Linked DNA regions of Tamandua tetradactyla. The protein of the gene in region 1 purifies or fractionates together with the protein of each later gene. This does not show direct contact. Links are inferred from orthologs where the notes say so. Each region holds a gene or a part of one and is shown in the gene's direction. Other genes may lie near its edges. The genes, in order: STK4, MAP1S and RASSF3.

What was found.
Region 2: the proteins of STK4 (region 1) and MAP1S purify together in Homo sapiens (affinity purification with mass spectrometry; 3 studies listed by BioGRID and IntAct, with this or other methods). This does not show direct contact. The link is inferred for Tamandua tetradactyla from reciprocal best matches to the Homo sapiens genes STK4 and MAP1S.
Region 3: the proteins of STK4 (region 1) and RASSF3 purify together in Homo sapiens (affinity purification with mass spectrometry; 5 studies listed by BioGRID and IntAct, with this or other methods). This does not show direct contact. The link is inferred for Tamandua tetradactyla from reciprocal best matches to the Homo sapiens genes STK4 and RASSF3.

What each region holds. Positions count from the first base shown.
Region 1 is NC_135327.1:7,195,706-7,202,753, reverse strand, and holds the start of STK4 (serine/threonine-protein kinase 4), read left to right. Parts: upstream 1-3,898; 5' UTR 3,899-3,926; coding exon 3,927-3,985; intron 3,986-7,048. UniProt on the Homo sapiens protein: Stress-activated, pro-apoptotic kinase which, following caspase-cleavage, enters the nucleus and induces chromatin condensation followed by internucleosomal DNA fragmentation.
Region 2 is NC_135337.1:96,482,996-96,490,276, reverse strand, and holds the start of MAP1S (microtubule-associated protein 1S), read left to right. Parts: upstream 1-4,244; coding exon 4,245-4,374; intron 4,375-5,208; coding exon 5,209-5,310; intron 5,311-6,399; coding exon 6,400-6,482; intron 6,483-6,978; coding exon 6,979-7,119; intron 7,120-7,281. UniProt on the Homo sapiens protein: Microtubule-associated protein that mediates aggregation of mitochondria resulting in cell death and genomic destruction (MAGD). Plays a role in anchoring the microtubule organizing center to the centrosomes. Binds to DNA. Plays a role in apoptosis.
Region 3 is NC_135333.1:132,455,544-132,462,732, forward strand, and holds the start of RASSF3 (ras association domain-containing protein 3), read left to right. Parts: upstream 1-4,163; 5' UTR 4,164-4,345; coding exon 4,346-4,456; intron 4,457-7,189.

The sequences.
Region 1 (7,048 bases):
GTTCACTTTCTACACTTCTTACATTGATTTCTTTCTTTCCATAGCTCTTTTAATAGCAGACATATTACATATTTGCTTTTTGTTTATTGTTGATCTTGCCAACTTGAATGTGAGACTCATGAGGGCGGGAACTTTTATCTATATTGCTCACTGCCTGGCACATAGTAGCATGCTTGGCCCAGAGAAGACACTCAGTATATATCTGAATGAATGAATGACTGTCCCAGCTTTCTCAGAGAAGCTTTCCTGATCCTTCCAGGGGTGTAAATCTCCTTGGCAATTTGGGACAGGACTCCTGGGATGAGCTGGGACCCACATCAAGGGATGGAGAAAGACCTCTTGACCAAAAGGGGGAAGAGAGAAATGATACAAAATAAAAGTTTCAGTGGCTGAGACATTTCAAACAGATTTGAGAGTTTGTCCTGGAGGTTATTCTTATGCATTATATAGGTATTTCTTTTTCATTTATGGTGCATTGGAGTGGCTAGAGGGAAATAACTGAAACTGTTGAATTATGTTCCAGTAGCCTTGACTCTTGAAGACAGTTGTATGACTATATAGCTTATACAGTGTAACTGTGTGATTGTAAAAACCTCCTGTGTGATGCTTCTTTTATCCAGGATATGGACAGACAAGTAAAAAAGTAAGGAAAAATAAACAAATAATAGGGGGCAATAAAGGGGAAAAAAAATTTGGGTGGATTGAAATACTAGTGGTCAATGAGGAGGGGTAAGGGGTATGGGATGTATGAGTTTCTGTTTTTTTTTCTCGAGTGATGCAAATGGTGAAAAACTGATCATGGTTATGAACACACAGCTATGTGATGATATTGTGAGCCATTGATTGTATACTGTGGATGGACTGTATGGAGGTGAAAATTTCTCAATAAAAATATTAAAAAAAAGTTTTTCAGTTGAACTAGCCACATGTAGCTTGTGACTACAGGTTTGGATAGCACACATACAGAACATTTCTATCCTCACACAAATTTCTATTAGACAGTGCTGGACTGGATAATCTGTAGAAAAAGAGGGCCATTCGAATCTTGGTTCATCTTCTGAAATAATCCCAGGAAGTGGACAAAGGAGGAATGTTTGTTTACAACCATGTACTGGCAAACTGACATTTATTTTCACAATTCATGTTACCGAATACCTTCTCACGTACAGGGATGCCTGTTATGCTGTGTGGGCAAGCTTATGATACAGAACTGACCAGCAAGGGGTAAAAAATCCACTTACAGCAGGGCCTGCACATAAGATAAAAAATGTGCTTTGAGAGAAGGAAAGGAAAAATGCTACAGGATTTCAGAAGACAAAGGATTGACTCCTTACAAGAGACTTGTAATGCCCTCCTGAGCATTGTACAACTCTCCTTGATTCTTCCTTTCTTAGGACTCCACCCGCCACTTGTACAAATTTCTGATAGAGCAATGTGGCAAATAAAACACGGAAGCTATGGAGTCAGGACAGTCCTGGATTGAAACCTTTGCTCTGACTAGCTGTGTATATGTGAGTCTCAGAGTCCTCACCTATAAACTACAGATAATTCTTAGGGTTGTTTTGAAGGTTAAGTCAAAAGTCAGGACAATGCCTGGCTCAAAGTCGATTCTCAGTAAGTTTTTTTTTCGCAAATGGCCTCGCAGGTGAATGGTTCCATTATCTTAGGTGTTGTTTTGTAGATGGTATCCCTCTGGGATAAGGAAAATTAAAACCAGTGAGTTTGCTCTAGATAATTTTTTTCCTGTAACCTTCCCCACTGGGAAGAATCTGCCATTTTCCTAACACTCACTGATAGTGGTGGCAACTGAGGATTTTGACTTGTCATAGCTGGAACTGGAGCTCCAAATGGAGACGTCTTGCTCAACCAGAGGATAGACATTAGGGTTTTTCCAGTTTAGTGGTGTAGGCTCTGGAATCAAACCGACCTGGACTGAGTTTCCAAACCTCTACTTTTAACTGTGCTACCTTGAAGCAAAATATTTTACTTTTCCGGGCTTGCAAAAGGAGGATAATAATAGTATAGCGTCGTTAGGATTAAATGAGCTAATTAGCAAAGCGCTGAGAATGCTGCCAAGCACTCTTTGTCAAATAATTATTTAAATACATAAAAACGGGGATAACTTTAAGACCTTGATGGATTAAATGACATTAATATGAAAGCAGGCACATGGCATGTGCTGAAAAACGTTAACTATTTTTGTGTCTACAAACTGACTCAAAGGCGAAGCTAAGAGAGAGGGTGGGGCAATTTACAGGCTGTTGTTCTGTGACAACAACGAGTTGATGTGCACAGTCCAATCCCCATCTGGGACAAGATCTGGAACAACAGGAGGAGCATAAACCTTTTCAGGCACTCCTGGAGGAACGCTGCCCACAACGCGCGTAGAACTTGGGTTGTTAAGAACCGACAGTTCTTAACCAGTCGGCGCTTCGCAAAAAGCCTCAATATCTCCGTCTGAGAAATGGGGGGCCAGCCCCGGACAGAGATGAGGTCCCAGACTGGAGCCCGAGCTGCGCGACAAAAGGACTCGGTTAGAGGGTCCCCCCGCCCCCAGCTCCGCCACGTGACTCAGGCCAGCGCCACGTGACCCACGCCCGGCTTCTCCGGCCTGGGCCTCGGCGGCTCCGCCCGGCTCGCGCGCGGCGCGCTACTTCCGGTAGGGGCGGAAAGCGGAAGTGTGGGAGGGTCTGCGGGGCGGGCTCGAGGCGGCCCGGGGGGAGGATGGAGCTGTGAGCGGGCTCGGGCGGCTGCCGGCAACGCCATGGAGACGGTGCAGCTGAGGAACCCGCCGCGCCGGTGAGGGGGCACTGGCCGAGAGGAAGGGTCCTGGGGGGCAGGGAAAAGGTGGGAGCTGACTGAAGGGAGACGGCTGTGTGGAAGCCCGGGAGAGATGGGATCTGCGGGGGTGAAGCGACTGGACTGATGGGGGCACCCGCTGAGTGGGGGATCTCTGGGGGCTGGGGTTCGGCGGAGGGGCCCGCCCGTCGAAGGGGAGAAACGTGGGACTGGCCAGGGAGAGCACTTGTGGGGGACCTCTTGGGAAAGGGGGTGGAATCTCGCTGACTGGAGCACCTGCTGAGGGCGGGGACCACTTGGGGAAGGCTAGCTAAGAAGGGACTTAACTGGGATTGGGGTTGGTGGTGGTGGTGGAGGTACTGAAGTGGGATGCGAACCTCTGAGGAATCTTTCTAAAGGTACCAGCGGAGGGGAAGACCGGGTGGACTTTCTAAGGGAGGGGAGAGAGTCCCACCTGGGGAGTCGCGTGTCGGAGCTATGTTGAGGGGAAAAGCTTGCGCCTAAGTCTGAAGTGTGAAGAAAAGTCTAGCAAGAGGGATGCTCTTAGTGGTGTCCTGTCCCCACTTTAGGGTGATGACGGCATCAGTCATTCCTCAGATCCAGAGTGCTTTCCTAATTTTCCTCACATCCTCTTCATCCCTTCAAACCCCACTTTGGGAGATAGATTAGGAAATAAGAGGATCTTTTCAAGATGAGCAGTGTGAAGCCCAGAAGAGTTGAGACACAGTTCTAATTGTTTCCCTTTTTGATCTGGGTCCGGGTCTCTGGATCTGGTCTGACTGTGCTCTTCTCAGGCCTCTACTGTTTTGTGACTATCAGCTCCAGATCTTAGAGATACTTGGATTGTTTTAGGCCAACATCAGGGAGGTGACTGATCAAGTCTAACATCTTGGGTCTGGTTGCAGTTTTATTATTGATTTGCTCTGTGGACACAGGGTCTTATGCCACTCTCCTGTATCTAGAGAAAAGTGGGGAGTAGAGACTGAAAGAGCCATGCTTTTCTGAGGTGCGCTGTAGTTAGCTTTTATTTGGTAGAGACCTCTGACTTCCTGTAGCATAAGGAGCGCTAAAGTAGGAAGTGCTGAGTGGGTGGGCCAGTGAAGAGGTGAAAGAAAGGGATTGACAGCATGGGCTGGAGTCTTGGGGTCGATCGAAGTGCACAAACATTGCAGAAGGCAAATAAATGGTTGGGATGGATTCATAATTCTCTCTAGCGTAGTGTGCTGTTATAAGGATGATTCTTACCCCCTTATACTTGTGTGGACTGTATGAAATTGCTGACATTTGATGATTTTTGACCTATAAAAATGGAAATTTCGTATGGTTCAATTTATTACTAATTCATTTGATCCTTATTACAATTCTGTGAGGTGGATATCCCTAGCTCTCTGTTTTATAAATGATAAAACTGAGGCATGGAGGGATTAGTGATTGCCCGAGGTCCTGCAGTCAGTGGTCGAGCTGGGGTTTTAATCGAGGCAACCTAGTGCAAAGTCAGAGCTTTTAACTGCCTCACTCTGCTGCCCCTCCGGAAATACCCTTGTTTCACAAGCCTTATGTTAGCAGATATTTGCTATAGCATGGTAGCAATCCATTTATTATTGTATACTGGTTATATGTATTTTTTTCTGAAATGTGTGTGCTCTTTCTCTTCCTTGAGTCAGTGAGGCCTTGGCTTAATTGAAAAAGGATTAGGAATCTGAATTTCTACTCTGCTTTGTGTTGTGTAATCTTGGGCAAAGGAGTAAGCCTATTGCTTTTTGACATCAGTGCTGATCACTATGTCCATTCCTGTATCTTTTGGATTAAAAAAAAATTATCAAAAATGCAACAGAAGAGCGTTGCAGGACTGAGTTCTTGATTGATTGGCACTTTCCTGCTTATCATAACCAGTGGAGTGCCTAATTTGCAGTAGCTACATTTTATTGTCATTTATAAAAATTGTTAGTTAATTTTGTATATTTGTTGTAACCGACATCAAATTCTTTGTGGAAAGAAGGATAGGTGTACATAAATAAAATACCCCTTACAGGAGATCTAAGATGGGAGGTAGAGGTTTGAGTATTAGCCAAACTTGTGAGTGACTACTTCTCAAACACCCTTATTTGTGTTTGGAAAGGGGTCTTTTCGGAGATTCAGAAGGTATGCATTGCAGGCAAGGGGTAGCAACCCCAAGGCAGGAAATGCTTTTTGTGTTCAAAGTTTGACATTTGCATGTGTCTGAGTGAATGATGGCAGATTGAAAGTTATTGTCCTATATAGGAATTAATGATTTTTAAAGGTGAGTTACCATTAAATAATGATGGTTTGATGGATGGTGTAGAGAGTTTTCCTGGGATGCTGGGCACCCACGAAGCCTTCTGACTTAGGAGAGGACCACCCAGCCGTATCTGGCCCATGGAGACTGTGCTGGCCAGACCGCTATCGTTTATGAGCCAACATCGAAACTGCCTAGTACCTGGGAAGTCCCTATTGAGGCAGCTGCATCTTCACAATTGGGCTGTTTGGGTAATATTACTTAGACTCATGGTAGGAAATTACATTGATTCACTTATCAAAGTATTTTTTTTTAGAAATCTTATTAATTGATAATCCAGTAATACTTTTTTAGATGAAGTTCTGTTTTATTTTGAAAACTCACAGCTTGTTGATAAAGGTTATGATTCCCATCATTACACTCAGTCCATTTAGTAAACATCTATTGGTCACCTTTTGGTTACCAGGCACCAGAGATATAACGGTCCCCTGAGTTCAAGTTGTTTTAAATAACCCTAGACCAAAAACACACTAACAAAAAGCCACTTGGATTTTTTTTTAAATGGATTCTGAGCAGTCATATAAAGTTTGTCTGTCAGTGTATTATTGGAGGCTTGCAGCTATTTCTCTCGTGGCAGTGGCAGTTTCCTTTGTTATGCTGTGGTCTCTGTAGTAGTTGAAATAGTGAGTTTTGCTTTTTGTGACCACAAAGAGTCAACATTCAAAGGAACACATGAATCTGCCTTTAGATAAACTGTTTATAAAACTTTAATCGTACTTAAGAAATGAGGTATTGTCCATTGTTTATATAATTATAATTTAGGGCTTCAAAAAACACACAAGACACAAGGAATAAAAACTAAATGACTGGCTTATGACATGTTCGTTCTAACTTATGATTTCATAGAAATTTCAGTTCTGAAATTTAAGAGTAGTTTCACATCAGTCTTTTATGTTTTGAAACTAGGAGTTTTTATGATATCATTGGAATTTAATTTTTTGGACCTTTTGATTTTCAAAGGTCAGCATGGTCGTTTTGTTTTGTTAAGTTTGAGGTTAAGGCAATTATTGCTTGGAGCAGTTCTCCATTTCTCTAGTACCTAGTCCTTGATATAAAATTCTGTAAGACTGTCCTTTTAAGATCTATGCTTATTGGTAGATATACTTGATGTGTTCGGATTTTATTGCCTTCTCTTCTGGTTTTGCTATTTCTCTAGGAAGTTACATATTTGTGTGTGTATGTGTATATGTACATATATGTTTTTAATTCAAGTCTTATCAGAATTGATATTATCCAACTAGTTTAAACCTTCTTCTTTACAAAGAAATCTACAATGTGACTACTTCCATGTTTCACCATTTCCCTACTTCACTTTTCTTTGTTGTCCTTTGCAGTTTCAGGAAGCCATTGTGTAGAAGAGGCACATACACATACACACATACACAGATTCCTTAGCAAGCTCCTTCTTTAAGCCTATTAATAATATAAATATAAAAAAAAAACTGGATGTACTTATTCTGGGCTTTGATTTTCACAGATCCCAGAATTTAAAAAAGTATGTTTGTATGCCTCCCATGTTTGTTATGATTATCTAGCTTAAACAGAAAAATCTTGAATTACTGTTGGAGGTTGTAAGGTGCCCTTTACCTTTGTTTTTTGAAACTAGTCAAAGGTACATGGCTGCTCATTGGAGGATTTTTGTGAGCTAGTTTGAAACTTCCATGTGCCTATTATTTTTCACATCTTTTCCCAAAAGTTAGTTATGTCATTTGAATCATAGAATCTTAATATAAGTGGGCTTTAAAGATTCTCTCTCATGCTTAAATCCACTCTGTAGCATTTCAGCCACGTGTGATTCATTTTCTGTTTAAATTCTCCAGTGATAGGGAACTAGGGACCTCTTAAGGCATTCTGTGCTATTTTATTGGTAGAAAATTCTGACGTCTGTTGAACTGAAATCTGATTCTTGGCAGCTCTCCACCCTCTGCTCTT
Region 2 (7,281 bases), on another chromosome or scaffold:
GGGCCTCTCTGCACTGGCCTGGGGGGTGCTGACAACACTCCGGATCTGGAACCGGGAGACATCTGCCCGAAGCCACCCGCCCAGAGCGCCCCCTAAGGCGCTGTCCCCAGGGCTGCCCCCCACAGGCCCGGCTGCACCCTGAGGCCTAGGGACAGGCTAGAGGTGCAGAAATCGAGGTGGCGCCTTGGCTCCAGGGCACAGACCTATGCCCCATGTGGGCTAGACCAGTGTTAGTCCAATCTCGGTGCATCTGCAAACAGGCCTGGGGGAGGTCTTGCTGGGGAGACCCTGGCTGTGTGCAGTGCCAGCTGTCTACTCGGGGTGCTATTTGTGGCCAGTCAGTCCAAAGTCAAATGGTAAATCACAAAAATAACTTGTGGGGGCTCCAGGCTGCACACTCGGCATGTTTTAATTAAATCCCATAATGACCCTCAAAGATGGCGGCTGTTGTTATGTCCGTTTAAGAGGCAGAGAAACCAAGGCACAAGGAGGTTCCTATGTCTGGGACCCCAGGACGCCTCGCCCCTCCTCGGGAACTGGCACTCCCGCGCTGAGAGGCCCTGGCGGGTGGGGGTGGGAGGCGATGAGCCCATGCCCACAAGGTGGCGAGGCCATGGGCAGGCAGCCTTCCCACGGCCACTTGGGAACGCCTGGCGCTGCGAGAAGAGGGTACAAGCGCCTAGAGGGGTATGAAAAGGCTAAAAACAGCTTTATTAGCCCCAAACTGGGAACATTCGAATGTCCATAGTGAAAAGCTGGTACCCGATGTTCACAATTAAAAAGCCCCAAAGCCACGCGTGGGTGTGGCTGCGGTGGGACGGCCTGGGTGCTGTGCTGTGTGGAGGGGGTGGCTCCTTAAGAAATGGACCACATGAGAATGGGGAGAAATTCAATTTCTCTAAGTTGAACTCTTGATATTCCCAAAAGCAGTGTGGACAACCAAAGCTATAGGCAGAGCCCCCAGTCTTGGGGTTTGTTCATATAAAACTTAACCCGGCAAAGGATAGGTCAAGTCTACTTAAAATTCAGGCCTAAGAGTCACCCCCAAGAGAGCCTCTTTTGTTGCTCAGATGTGGCCTCTCTCCAGCCAACACAATGAGCAGTCTCACCACCCTACCCCTCTCTACGTGGGACATGACTCCCAGGGGTGTGGACCTTCCTGGCAACGTGGGACAGAGATCTTGGAATGAATGGAGACTCAGCATCAAGGGATTGAGAAAAACCCTAGAATGAGCTGAGACTTAGCATTAAGGGATTGAGAAAACCTTCTGGACCAAAAGGTGGAAGAGGGAAATGAGACAAAGTGTCAATGGCTGAGAGATTCCAAACAGAGTCGAGAAGTTATCCTGGAGGTTATTCTTATGCATCAAGTAGATATCATCTTGTTATTCAAGATGTAATGGAGAGGCTGGAGGGAACTGTAGAGCTGTGTTCCAGTAGCCATGTTTCTTGAGGATGATTGAATAATGACACAGCTGTCACAATGTGACTGTGTGATTGTGAAAACCTTGTGTCTGATGCTGCTTTTATCTACCTTGTCAACAAAGGAGTAGAACATATGGAATAAAAATAAATAATAGGGGGACCAAATGCTAAAATAAATTTAGTTTAAATGCTAGTGATCAATGAAAGCAAAGGATAAGGGGTATGGTAGGTATAATCTTTTTTTTTTCTTTTCTTTCCTGTGTTCGTTTTATTTCTTTTTCTATTGTCTTTTTATTTCTGTTTCTGAATTAATGTAAATGTTCTAAGAAATGATGAATATGCAACTAAGTGATGATATTGTGAATTACTGATTATGTATGTTGCTTTATTTTGTTTCTTTATTTTTTTAATTAATAAATAAATTTAAAAAAAAGAAAAAAAGAAATGAACCACAGAGCTGCGGGACCAGCCATCCCACTCCTGGCACAGAGGCAAAGGGACTGCAGAGGTCCTGCAGGCCTGTTCACAGACGTCCTGGCGGCATCAGGTGGAGACCACCCAAAGGTCTGGCAGCAGAAGGGAGGGCAAGCACATGTGGGCTCCACACAACGGGGTGTTGATCAGCCAGAAAAAGGACTAACTCGCGGGGCCCCGGAAGGCGAGTGAGAGCCAGGCCAGGTGCTGGGGCGGGGACGGGGTCGCCGGTGACTGCTGACTGGACGGGCTTCCCTTGGGGTAGCAAGAATGTTCTGGAACTAGTGGAGATGGGTGCTCACTGCTGTGAACGTAGCTAATGTACCAAATCGCACTCTTTACGAAGGCTGAAATGGTTAATTTTATGCTAGGTATACTTTGCACAATACAAGAAAAAACTTCCAGCGATGCTCACGGTGGGAAAAGGAGCAAACGTCCACTCCTTGTGCACCCAGGGGCCAAGATGGCACACCCAGGTGCACAGTGTGTGTGGCCCAGGTGTGTGAGGTCTGCAGCCAGGTGGGCAGGGGGTGCCGGGGGAAGGGGTCCTTCCCTGCAGCCAGGGAGGCCAAGGTGCGGCTGGGCTGGGAGCACCCACCTAGGCCCTCGCCCTCCTCAAGCACCTCCCCTGACCCCATGGACGCCATGGCTGACAGTCCAAAGGAAACAGGATTGCTGGGGCCGGGCTTTGCTGAGAGCTTCGGGCATCCCTGAGGGCCTCTGGGCCATGGGCATGGGACAGGGGTGGGGGGGCGGGCAGGAGCACTGCTCTGAGCTCTGTGCTGGGGACTTTGAGATGGGCTGGACCCCAGAAGCTGAAGGGGGTGCTGCAAATGGGTCTCCTGGTGGAGACACATCTGAGCACCGATTAGAATTAATGCCAAGGTCACAAGCTATAGCCTCAGGCACAGGTAAGGGCGTGGAGTCCAGCCAGGTGGTCCTAGGTGCAAATTCAGACCCAGTCAACACCCACGGAAAGCCCAACTGGCGAAGGGACAGTAGACAAACCCACTCTGAGCTCCTGCATGAGGCCAGGGACCCAGATGGCCTCAACCGGACAAGGGCACAGCCCGGCACAGATGCTCCCCCCCAACCCCCCATCACCTGTCAGAGTAATAATCAGGAAATCACAGGCCCTAGGACATGAGTACAACTCGAGGAAGGGCGCAAAGGAGGAGGGAAGGGATATGGGAAGGATACCAGGGCGCAAAGGAGAGAGGAAGTCAGACGGTCAGACTCTAAGTGGGCCCCCAAGGCCGTTACACACTTGCCAGGCAGGAAGTCGGGCTGAACAACCCAGAGAACAGGAGGCTGATGCTGCTTTGCAGAATTTCCCCATCTCTGACCCGCTATGCTTTGGATACTTCCATAAATGGGAAGCTCGCTCCCAAAGAAGATAGCCCAGCCCTGCCTGGACACAGCCAACTGTCCAGAGGTTTACTGTAACAGGAGTGGTGGCCATGGACGAAAGGGCCGGACACGATTGTTTGGGGGAGGAAAGGGGGAGACTCAGGAGCCAGGCAGGCAGTGCCACAGGCTGGGTCTGGAATTGGACTGACCTGGATTGGAGTCTTGGCCCTACTGCTATGTGCCTGGTGACTTGTCTCTCCAAGCCTATTTCTTCTCTTTTGAAATGGCCATAACTGTGCCTACCTCATAGGTCTGTGCACATATTCGAGGAGCTGAGGTAGTACAATGACTGGCACACAGAAGGTGCCAAATAAGTGTGTCACCCTGCTTCGGGGCTACAGTGATGTGGAGCAAACGCCACTGTAGTTTCCTACCTCTGAAACTTTCCACGTGCTCTAACTTCCACCTGGCCATATCCGTACTCCATCAGTCACACCCTCCCCACGCACCTACCGAACTCCTATGCATCCCGCAAAACCCTAAGGACAAGATGAATTCTCTCTGGTCAAGTCCTGAGTCCGGGGGCTGGGAGCATCTAGGCTGGGTTCTGATTATCCCACAGTGATGTGATGTGAGTTTCCGAGGGCAGGGACTCTGTCTGGCACGCGGCAGCCACAGGGCCAATGCTTGCTGAATCAATACACGCATGAACGAATGAACGGTCAGGTGGGCGGCACAAGGCGGAGACCCAGAGCCGGCCAGCCCCTTTAGCGGCGCCCCATCCCCAGCTCCCCACAACCTCGAAGGCCCAGGAGGGGGCAGACAAAGGGGCAAGGTGGGGGCACTTCCGGGCAGAGCGGGGGCTGCAACCCACCCGTCCGGCGCCTTTAAGGGGCGGGACTTGCGCGCGGAGCGCCGCGTCCGATTGGTCGTGGGTGATGTCACGCGAGGGGGGGCGGGGCGGAGCGGCGCTCGGGGTTCGGGGCCGCGCGAAGATGGCGGCGGCGGCGGCGGCGGCGGGGCCCGGGGTGGCGGCGGTGGCGCCGAGCTCGCTGCTGCTCGTGGTGGGCGGCGAGTGCGGGCGCCCGGGACTGCTGGCCTACGTGCTGGACGAGCTGGAGCGAGGTCGGGCCCTCGGGCGGGGACGCGGGCGCGGGGGGACGTGGCTGGGGGAGGCGGACACGGCCGTGGGGGCCACGCCCGGGGCCTGCGACCCGCGCGATCAGGCAGCCTGGGCCTTGTCCCCGCGCCCCGCCGAGGCCCTCCCGGGGAGCGCGTGTGCGCCGCCGGTCCCAGCCCCCAGCCGCCCAGCGCCCCGGACCCCGCGGTCCGCCAGGGGCCCGGGCGCCCACCCGGCTCAGGCCGCCTCGCCTGCAGCGCAGGACCCACTCGGCCGCGGCGGGGTGGGGACAACGTCGGGGCCTGGTGGGCAGCTGGGAATCCCGGCCTGGACCGAGAGCAGCTAGGGCGGCGGGCCTGGAGCCCGCAGGGCGCTCTTTTCCTCCCTGGCTGCTGCGGGGACTGCTAATTGGGGCGTGGGCCGGAGGCCTGCGGGACCTGGCAGCCGGCAGATGAGTCACGGGTACACCTGTAGGGTTCACCTGCTATCCTGGCACTGGTGCCGTGAAACTGCACGGGGGCTGGGAGCGATGTCGCGCCCCCTCCCGGGGCCTCCTGTACAACAGAGGGGCGGTGCACACCTGGCGAGGTGTCCGGAGCACCTGTGCTGAGCTCTTGGCTGGGTAGAGGGTATGGGGTACAGTGACAGGTGGGCCCCAAAGGGCTGTGGCCAAGCCCAGGCCTGGTGGGGTGGAGGGGAAGAGGAGGCAGGGGAGAGGAGGCAGGGGAGAGGGCCACATCTGAGTCTGAAATGCTGAGTCTGGGCAGGGGCCCATGGCACTGCAGGGTAGGTGGAGGAGGGGGCCTGGGATACCGGTTGACCCTCACCCCGTCCCCCAGGCCTCCGTTCCTGGGACGTGGACCCCAGCATCTGCAGCCTGGATGAGCAACTGAAGATCTTTGTGTCCCGGCACTCAGCCACCTTCTCCAGCATCGTGAAAGGTGAGGAGGGGTCCCTGCCTGCCCCAGCTCCTCCGGGGTGCCAGATGTGAGAACAACGGGATAGGAGCCCCCATAGGGCCCCCTCCATCCTCAGACACCCCAAGGCCCCCGTTTACAGATGAGGAAACCGAGGTGTGAGGGCCCGGAGGAGAGGAGGGGGCCTGTGGCTGAGATGCAGCGGGAAGGGCTTATCCAGTTGATTGGTGGCCCCTGGGGCTGAGTGTGGGCCCTGCAGGGGCAGGACCTGGTCTGCTTCACACAGGGCCTGGTATACAGTAGGTGCTCAGCAGTGGGGAGCCAAGGAGGAGCATAGTAGAGGCCGGGGGCTGCCCACTGGGGCCCACGTGTTGCCCAGAGGCTCCAGCTGAGTCACTCCTGCCTCTGGGCAGGGAAGGAAGTGACCGCAGCCCCATCCCAGCTGCTTCCTGAACCCTTGCAGGGGTGAGGCTGGGCATTCGGTCCGCCTGTGGGTTGCAGGGCTGTGTACCCAGGCGGTACCTCGGTTTCCCACCTGTGAGCGGGCTGTGTCCACACGTGATAAGTGCGCATGGTGTGCAGGAGCTAGGGGCAGGTGGGTGGTGCCAACTGGACACAGCTCCAGCCTTGGCCTGGCCCGCGAGGATCATGCCCGGGCTCTGGGGACACAGACCAGGGCTTGGACTCACCACTTTCGTGGCTCCTGATGTCCTGCAGCCCCTATCGGCTGCTGCCCTCGCTCCCTTCTATGCCACCTCCCTCCCCTGGGGCCTCTGCCTCGGGCCCTTCCCTGGCACCTCAAATGGGGGCAAGTGGCCCCCTCAGGGGTTTCAAACAACAGACACTCACCACAGTCCCGGGACCCAGAAGGCCAGGGTGAAGGTGCACAGAGTGGCCATCTTTCCGTGTGTCTGTCATTCTGTGTCCTTAGGTTAGGGGTGGCCCTCCAGTGTGGGGACCCCATTTCCCGGTAGAGGCACAGGGTGGGGGTCCTGACCTGACTCTGGGGCTGGGGTCCAGCCTCATCCCCACCTGCAGCCCTCCTGTGGGGGGGGGGGGCTCATTAACCGGGTGTTCCCGGTGGCCCCTGCCCATGGCCCGGCTCCCCCATAGGCCAGCGAAGCCTGCACCACCGTGGGGACGCCCTGGAGGCCCTGGTGCTCCTCAACGCGGCCGACAAGTCCCTGTGTGAGGAGGTGAGGACATGCGGGTGGGCTGCCAGGACCCCATCCTGGGCCCCCACCTTGCTCTGCCCCAGATCCTCTCCCTACTCCCAGGAAGCAGCCCTGATGGCCCCACCCAGCCTCCCCCAGGGGGTAAAGGCAGTTCTCTAACACAGGCCAGACCTGACCAGCATTAGCTCCCAGCCCCCTTGGCTAGACGTGCTTATCCAGGCCCCCAGCTGTGGGCATCTGGCCTCTTAGAGGGACAGCCCTGGGCAGCCACTGGACACCTTTCCCAGGTTCACTCCTTCTGCTACCTTGAGAGCTTGTGGTCCGGGGGAGAGAACATCAGTACTGGGTCGGAAGGAGCTAAGGAGGAGCAGGGCCTTTGTAGGATGAGCAGGAGTTTGCTGGGGGGTGGGGTTTGGAGGTCCAGAGACTGCTTTCTCCACACAGGGTGGGGACGGAGGGAATGATGGGGCTGGATGCCTTCGTGGGGCACGTACCCTAATACTGCGCCCCTCTGCAGCTCCGGAACCTTCTGCTGGACCCCGCCCCTCACAAGCTGCTGGTGCTGGCAGGGCCCTGCTTGGAGGAGACAGGGGAGCTGCTGCTACAGACCGGGGGCTTCTCATCCCACCACTTCCTCCAGATCCTGGAGGATAAGGAGGTGAGGGGCCCCCACCTGTCTCCCTGTGCCCTCCTGGTCCACAGAAGTTCACCCTAAGTCAGTGCCCCCCTGGGGGATGGGGTGGCCCTGGATTGGGTCCACCCCTCTGGGTTCGCAGTCTGCTTGGGGAGGCAGGGAGATGGGGGCGATGGCAGGGGCCGA
Region 3 (7,189 bases), on another chromosome or scaffold:
AAAAAATAATAAAAAATAAAAAAATATATATATGAAAAAAGGAAAAAGAAAAAACAAAAGACACAAACAAACAAACAAAAAAAAACTATAGCTCAGATGCAGCTTCATTCAGTGTTTTAACATAATTACATTACAATTAGGTATTATTGTGCTGTCCATTTTTGAGTGGGAGCTTCTTAATGACTGATTCAATTTCTTTAGTTGTGATTGGTTTGTTGAGGTCACTATTTCTTCTCGAGTCAAAGTTGATTGTTCATGCCTTTCTAGAAAGTTGTCCATTTCATCTACAATTGTCATATTTATTAGCATAAAGTTGTTCATAGTATCCCGTCATTGCTTCCTTTATTTCTGTGAGGTCAGTGGTTATATCTCCTCTTCCATTTCTGATCTTATTTATTTGCATCCTCTCTCTTCTTTTTGTCAGTCTTGCTATAGGTCCATCAATCTTATTGATTTTCTCATAGAACCAGTTTCTGGTTTTGTTGATTTTCTCAATTGTTTTCATGTTCTCAATTTCATTTATTTCAACCATGGCTATCTTCATAGTTGCCACCATCACCTCTAAATCCATTATATCCACCATCAACTCCTCCATGACTACTTCTGCTGCTACCACCTCCTTCGTCACAGCCTCCTCTTCCACCAAAGTTCTCCCCACCTCCAAAGTTTTCTCCACAGCCCACAAAGTTGCCAAATCCACCTCCATGACCTCTTTATGATCCAGCAGACTGCATCTCTTGTTTAAAAAGGGCCTTTTTCACTTCACAATTATGCCCATTAATAGTATGGTATTTCTAAACAACAATTTTATCAACTGTATAAAATGATCACTGAAAGTTACAAAAGCAAATCTTTTTTTTTTCCACTCTGCCCATCTTCCATAACTTCTATGATCTCAATCTTGCCATACTTTTCAAAGTAGCCTCTCAAATTATATTCTTCTGTATCTTCTTTAATGCCACCAACAAAAACTTTCTTCACTGTTAGTTTGGCACCAGGTTTTGCAGAATCTTCTCTAGAAACAGTTCTCTTTGTTTCCACTACACGCACATCAAGCTTGCATGGTCCAGCACACAATGCTGCATCTACCTTGTCAACACAACAGTAAATCACATAACCAAAGCCTCTGAAATGTTTTGTTTGGAGGTCTCTCATCACTATTAAATCTATGAGTGTGCCCCATTTCTCAAAATATTCTCTTAAATTATCATCCATAGTTTCAAAGCTAAAACCACCAAGAAACAGTTTTCTCTACTGCTCTGGTTCCTTTGGACCATGGCCCTCAGTTTTGAGACTGTGCTCGCCTCCTTCAATTTGGGTTATGTTAAAATTAGATATCTAAATTCTTTAACCTGTATATCACTCATAAATTGGAGTATTTAATAAGGATTACATTCATGAAATAATGAAAAAATGGCACCAAATAAGAAAAATCTTTCATAAAGTCAGAAAACTGCCCTATTGTTTTATATGAGATTATGTGCATGGCACACCCAGGGATTAGTTTAGACTGGGCAAAACAATGCCCTGGTTAGAATTCCTGATTTCTAACCACTCATTAGCTGTGCAGCCAGGAAGGGTTTAATGTTGTGGGACCTTTAAAATGACTGTTCTGTAAGGCTGGCCTCATAGAGTTGTTGTGAACCATGTAGGGTAATATACCAATTTCCAAGATGGATGTGGTGAGAGGGCATAAAGGAAAGCAGAGGCCTTCTTTTAAACTGGGGATAACTGACTTAAAAAAAAAATTATTAAATTTTTTTTATTAGAGAAGTTGTGGTTTTGCAGAACAATCATGCTTAAAATATAGGATTCCCAACCACCACCCCAACATCAACACCTTGCATTGATGTGAAACATTTGTTAAAATTGATGACAGCACATTTTTATAACTCTACTATTAAAGTCTATGGTTTAACTTAGGGTTCCATGTAATGTAGCTCCGTGGATTTTTTTTCTAACTTGTATTCTGTTATCACATATACAATCTAACATTTCCCTTTTTAATCATATTCAGATGTATGTTTATTTCAGTGCTGCTAATTGTGTTCACAATGCTGTGCTACCATCACCACCATCCATTACCAAAACATTTCCATAATTACAAATAGGAACCCTGTACATTTTATCTTTTTTTTGAACCCTGTACATTTTAAGCCTTAAATTCCCATTCCCTTTCCCCACCCCTATTCTAGATTCTAACTCTAGCAGTTGCTTATTCTAATTATTTTAAGTTAGTGAGATCATACAATATTTGCCCTTTTGTGTCTGGTTTATTTCTCTCAACCTGATGGCTTCAGGTTCATCCATGTTGTCCCATGTATAAGAACGTCATTCTTTTTGGGGGGGGGAGTGGGGGGGACAGGGAGGATGTGCATGGGCTGGGAACAGAAATAAGGAGTTCTGCATGGTAGGTGAGGATTCAACCACTGAACCACCGTGCACCCAACTCATTCCTTTTTACAGCTGAATAATAGTCTATTGTATCATATACTACATTTTATTTATCCATTCATTGGTTGATGGACATTTGGGTTGTTTTCATCTTTTGGCAATTGTGAATAATGCCATTATTAGCAGCAGTGTGCAAATATCTGTTCTAGTCTCTGCTTTTAATTCTTTTGGGTGTACACCTAGTAGCGGGATTGCCGAGTCATATGGTAATTCTATACTTAGCTTTTTGAGGAACCTCCAAACTGTTTTCCATAAGGACTGCACCATTTTACACTCCTACCAGCAATGGAGTGTTCCTATTTCTCCATCCTTTCTAACACTTTTTTTTTTAATAGCAGCCATTCTAAAGGGATAAATGATTCCTGACCCATTCTACTTCTCTCCGTGCTGCCATGCCACAACTGAGCATGGCTAACTACCCAACAATCTTAAGGCCTGTAAGGATATCTTGAAGACCCTCAGCTCAGCTGAAAGCAGAGAGAATGCCAGTACTGCTACCTAGGGCTACCTTCCTCTCGCTAAATATCCGCTGCCCCAGGTGTGAAGGAGACAGAAAATAGAACTAACAGAGCTGTTTTGAGGATTAAGGGAGATAATGTGAGGAAGTTCAGCTATAACGGGTGAAGTTTTTCTTTCTAACCCTCCTCTTCTCTTCTTTCCCATTCCTGAAGTTTCCTTACTCCTGAGGCAATGGAACAACCTTCAGATCTGTACATACTGAAATTAGTATGATTTAAACCAGTTCAGTATGCGCCAAGGTGTAAATCACTGGTACCCATTGGTGGCTTGGAGGGTGATTGTGCATTTTAAAAGATGATTCGCGATTCTCCGCCCATACACTACCCCCACCCTCCCCTCGCGAAAAAAAGTAAAAGATGATTCGCCATCTAGTAGAATTTCACAAGGACGCTGGCTGAATACAATTCACTGATGCCCCCGCCCCCACTTAAGCCATGTCTTCTTGTAGGGGACTGTATAAGGCTGATTCTGGAAGGAAACATTTAAAAAGCACACGATTGTTTAAAACATTCCCTAACTAGATAGCTAGCTCATCGACCCCAGCCCCTTGCCCCACGTGGCTCCAAGATCATAATGACCTTGGCCGTCCTCGTGGGGAGTGACCCCTCGCTAGAGAGAAGGCGGACGGGGAAATTCCGAAGCTCGACTGAATCACTAGAGAGGACGTTTTAGTTCGAATAAACCCAATCTAGTGAAGAGCTACTCGCCAGTCTCCGATAACTTTTAGCCCTCTTGGAACAACGAGCTGCTCGGGTTCAGGACCGGGACCCCTCGGCCAGACAACTCCACCGCCACCCGCAGGGCCCAGGAAGAGAGCGAGCCGGGCGGGGACCGAGGGGAAAGCTCCCAGCTCTGCTCAGGCCCTCCCCTAAACCCGGGCCTGCGGAGTGAGGGGCGGGCGGGCCGATCACAGAGAATTAGGCAGTTTCCGGGAGGTTGGAAAAGCGACCCAGAGCACAGACCTACCAAACGCAGCCCTCGAAGGAGGCTTGCCGGGCGACACAAAACCTGCTAGGAAAAAGCACCGCCTGGAAGGGGCGGGCTGTGCAGCCCCCACCTGCGGCCGCGCGGGGAGTGTTTGCGGTGGCGAAGGGAGGGGCGGAGCCGGTGGCCCGGCCCCAGCGGGCGGACTGCGGGGCGGGGCTCCGGGAGGCGTGGCCGCGGGCGCACCCCGGCAGGGGCCGCGCCTGGAACCCAGCGGCTAGGCTGCTGGAGGGCCCGGACGGCCGGACCGAGCCGTAGCTGCAGCTGGACTGCCCGCCGGCGCCTCGCGGCCCGGCGCCGGGAACCTTGCAGGTTAAGAAGGCGCGGCGCGCCCTGCTTGGCCGCCTGCGCCCCGGGGAGGCCTGCCGCGCGCGACGGGACCAGCACCATGAGCAGCGGTTACAGCAGTCTGGAGGAGGACTCCGAGGACTTCTTCTTCACCGCCAGAACCTCCTTTTTCAGAAGGGCGCCCCAGGGCAAGCCCCGCGCCGGCCAACAAGTGAGTGGCGTGCGCCGCGGTTGTTGGTCGCGCCCCATCCCTCTTGGGGGTCCAGCCGCCCGGGTCTCCCTGAAACTCCACGTGCCTCCGTTGAGCACGCCTGGAAGGAGGCCGCCAAGAAGTGGCTTCATCCTTTTTGGATCCCGGGGTCGTGCCTTAAGCTTGTGCATGTGGGCGTGAGGGTGAGCGCATGGGGCCCCTGGGCGAGGAAGGAGGAAGAAGGGCCGGGAGGCTGAGGCTCCCGGGGTTCTGCCTTCAGCGCCGGATGACCTTCGCGGCTCCGTCTGGGGGCTGCCCGGGGCCGCCGTCCTCCTGGCAAAGCCAGGGCGTCGAGTTGTCTACGGGGGAGCAGTTCCGAGTGCAAGGAGGCGGCTCTGGCGTTTCCCCTGTGCCCATGGTGGATAAATAGTCGGGTCGGCCCGCGGACCGCCACTCCTGATCCGTTTAGTGATCCCCTGAGTGGCTTGGGGGTGGGGGCGTGTAATAGCCAGAGGTGGCTGCGGTGAGCCTGCCGCCCCTCTCTTCCCGGTCCGGGCTCATCTTGGGGAGGCCGAGGGACGTGCGGGGCCTGACGACAGTAGGCGCTCAAGAAATGGTGGTTGCGGGAGTCAGAGTTGTGCGTTTCTTGTAAAGCCAAGTTCGTAGAAGTCGCGAATGTTTTACAGACAAGTTCCGGTGTTAGGTTGATGTTAGCGCTCGAGAGCTGAGATTTAGGGCGTTCTCTTCCTTTTTTGGAGGAAGCGTGCCGTGGGAAGCATGAAAAGTTGGGACAGAACTTGGACGGGTTTCGCCGACCGTTAGTGTTTTTTAGGGAGGTCTTCCCAAATTGGGGCACTTGGGCTGACTTGCAAGGGTGGTGCTTGAACCCGCTCCCTCCTGGCCCTGGGAGCCGCACCAGGGAGCGCCGCCAGCCCAGCGGTACTACATCAGATTAGGGAAGGCTGAACTGGAACAGAATTGTTTTTAAAAAACAACAGGCGCGCACCGAACATTTCTAACAGCCTTAGTCCTAGTGAGTAGATTAATAATAACAAATAATCTTTCCAGGACCCGGATAATGAGTTGGTCGGCTGGGTGGGGGTTGTGCCAGGGTTTCCTTACCAGATCTTTTATTTGACCTCTTTCTGAGGTCAGATTTCTTTTGAAGTTTCGAAAATTCTAGTCTTTTCAACCTTTTGAGTTCCAGACCAAAGAGGGAGAGAAAGAGAGAGCGAGAGAGTAGAGTGCAAAAGTGAAGTCGAGCGCCCTTATTCAGTAAGAACGGTTAATCCAGAGTGAAGTCCCGGTGCCTTAGTTTCCCGGTCTTTATTGTTTCTGAGGTTTAAGGTCGCACAATTTACTAGTCACTTTGAGTGATCTCTTATTTTCAGTAGACTGTGTTCTGATGATATGAGATTGCTGTGAAGTTTGGAAGCCAGAAACATCCTCCTTCCCCAATCGGTTATGGAAGAATTGCATTTCCTTGTGCTGTTTTCACTTTGCTTTTTTCTTTTTCTTGGCCCATTCTTTCCTCCCTTCTATTTCTTTCCTGTTTTGGCTCTGCGTTTTGTCCTTCCAATAAATGTTGCTGTTACCATTTGACATGCAGTTGTAGGAGATGGTTGTAGTTTGAAGTCTATCCCCGAGGTGGCCTGTAATTTACAGAAAACTTGCTGGTTCTTGGGAGTCTCCTAAATAAGAGGCTACTTCATAAGGGCGCATGCAATTCCATGCATTCTCATGAATCCTTTAGGGCTTTAAAAAGTAAAAACATCCATTTTTTCCCTAGGTTTATACACACACACACACACACACACACACACACACACACACACTGTTTCTATGTTATGCTTTAATTTATATAATAATTCATTTAACGTCTTTATAGTCATAATATCTTTCATTTAACAATTAGAATTAGTCTAACAATATGTATTTTGAAATTCTGGGATGGTATGACCTAATTCCTTGCTTAAAGAGATAAGTACATGTAATCTGAAGCTTTAATGCCTGCATATTTTCCCCTTTAATTTAACACATGCAAGGTTCTGAGTGATAGGACTTATTTGCCAGGTGGAGAAAGTATTATGAATCCTGAATCTTACTTAGGTTGGTATTTTGGTTTGTTTAAAGAAGTGACTTGAGTGAATCTATTATTCCTGATAGCATTTCTTAGTTAAAGAAATGAGTTACCGTAAATATAAAGCCAGATACCCTTAATTTGGAACATTTCTTTTACCTAAGAGTAGGTAAGCCTGTTTTTATTTTATTATGTGGTAATTATAAAGAAATAAGATAATAAGCAATTTGTACAAGCAGTGTAGAAAAGGTGTCATCGTAACAATCTTATTATACATAATAGTGATTTTTTTTTGGTGTCATACCACCTGGTGGAAAAGCTAGGAAAATGTGGTTTTTAGAACTCTTGAAAATATCAAGAGAAAGCGAGATGTTTGTGGTAAAGGCAGGATGGGGAGAAAGGGTGGGGGTGGAGATAAATTTTTTTTGCCAAATAAAAATGTATCCCAACTTTTTTTGTCTCCAACAATAACAGAAACCTTATATACACACACAAGAAAATGTTATCATTGCTTTTAATTTTATTTTGATATTTTTTTCTATTAAGAAAAAAAGATTGTGCATGAGTAGTTCAGTGGTAGAATTTCTCACCTGCCATGCCAGGCTTTTTATGGCAGTTTGAATGTCATTTTTATGTTGTATATCTGGTGCCTTGACAAATGCTTAACATATGGT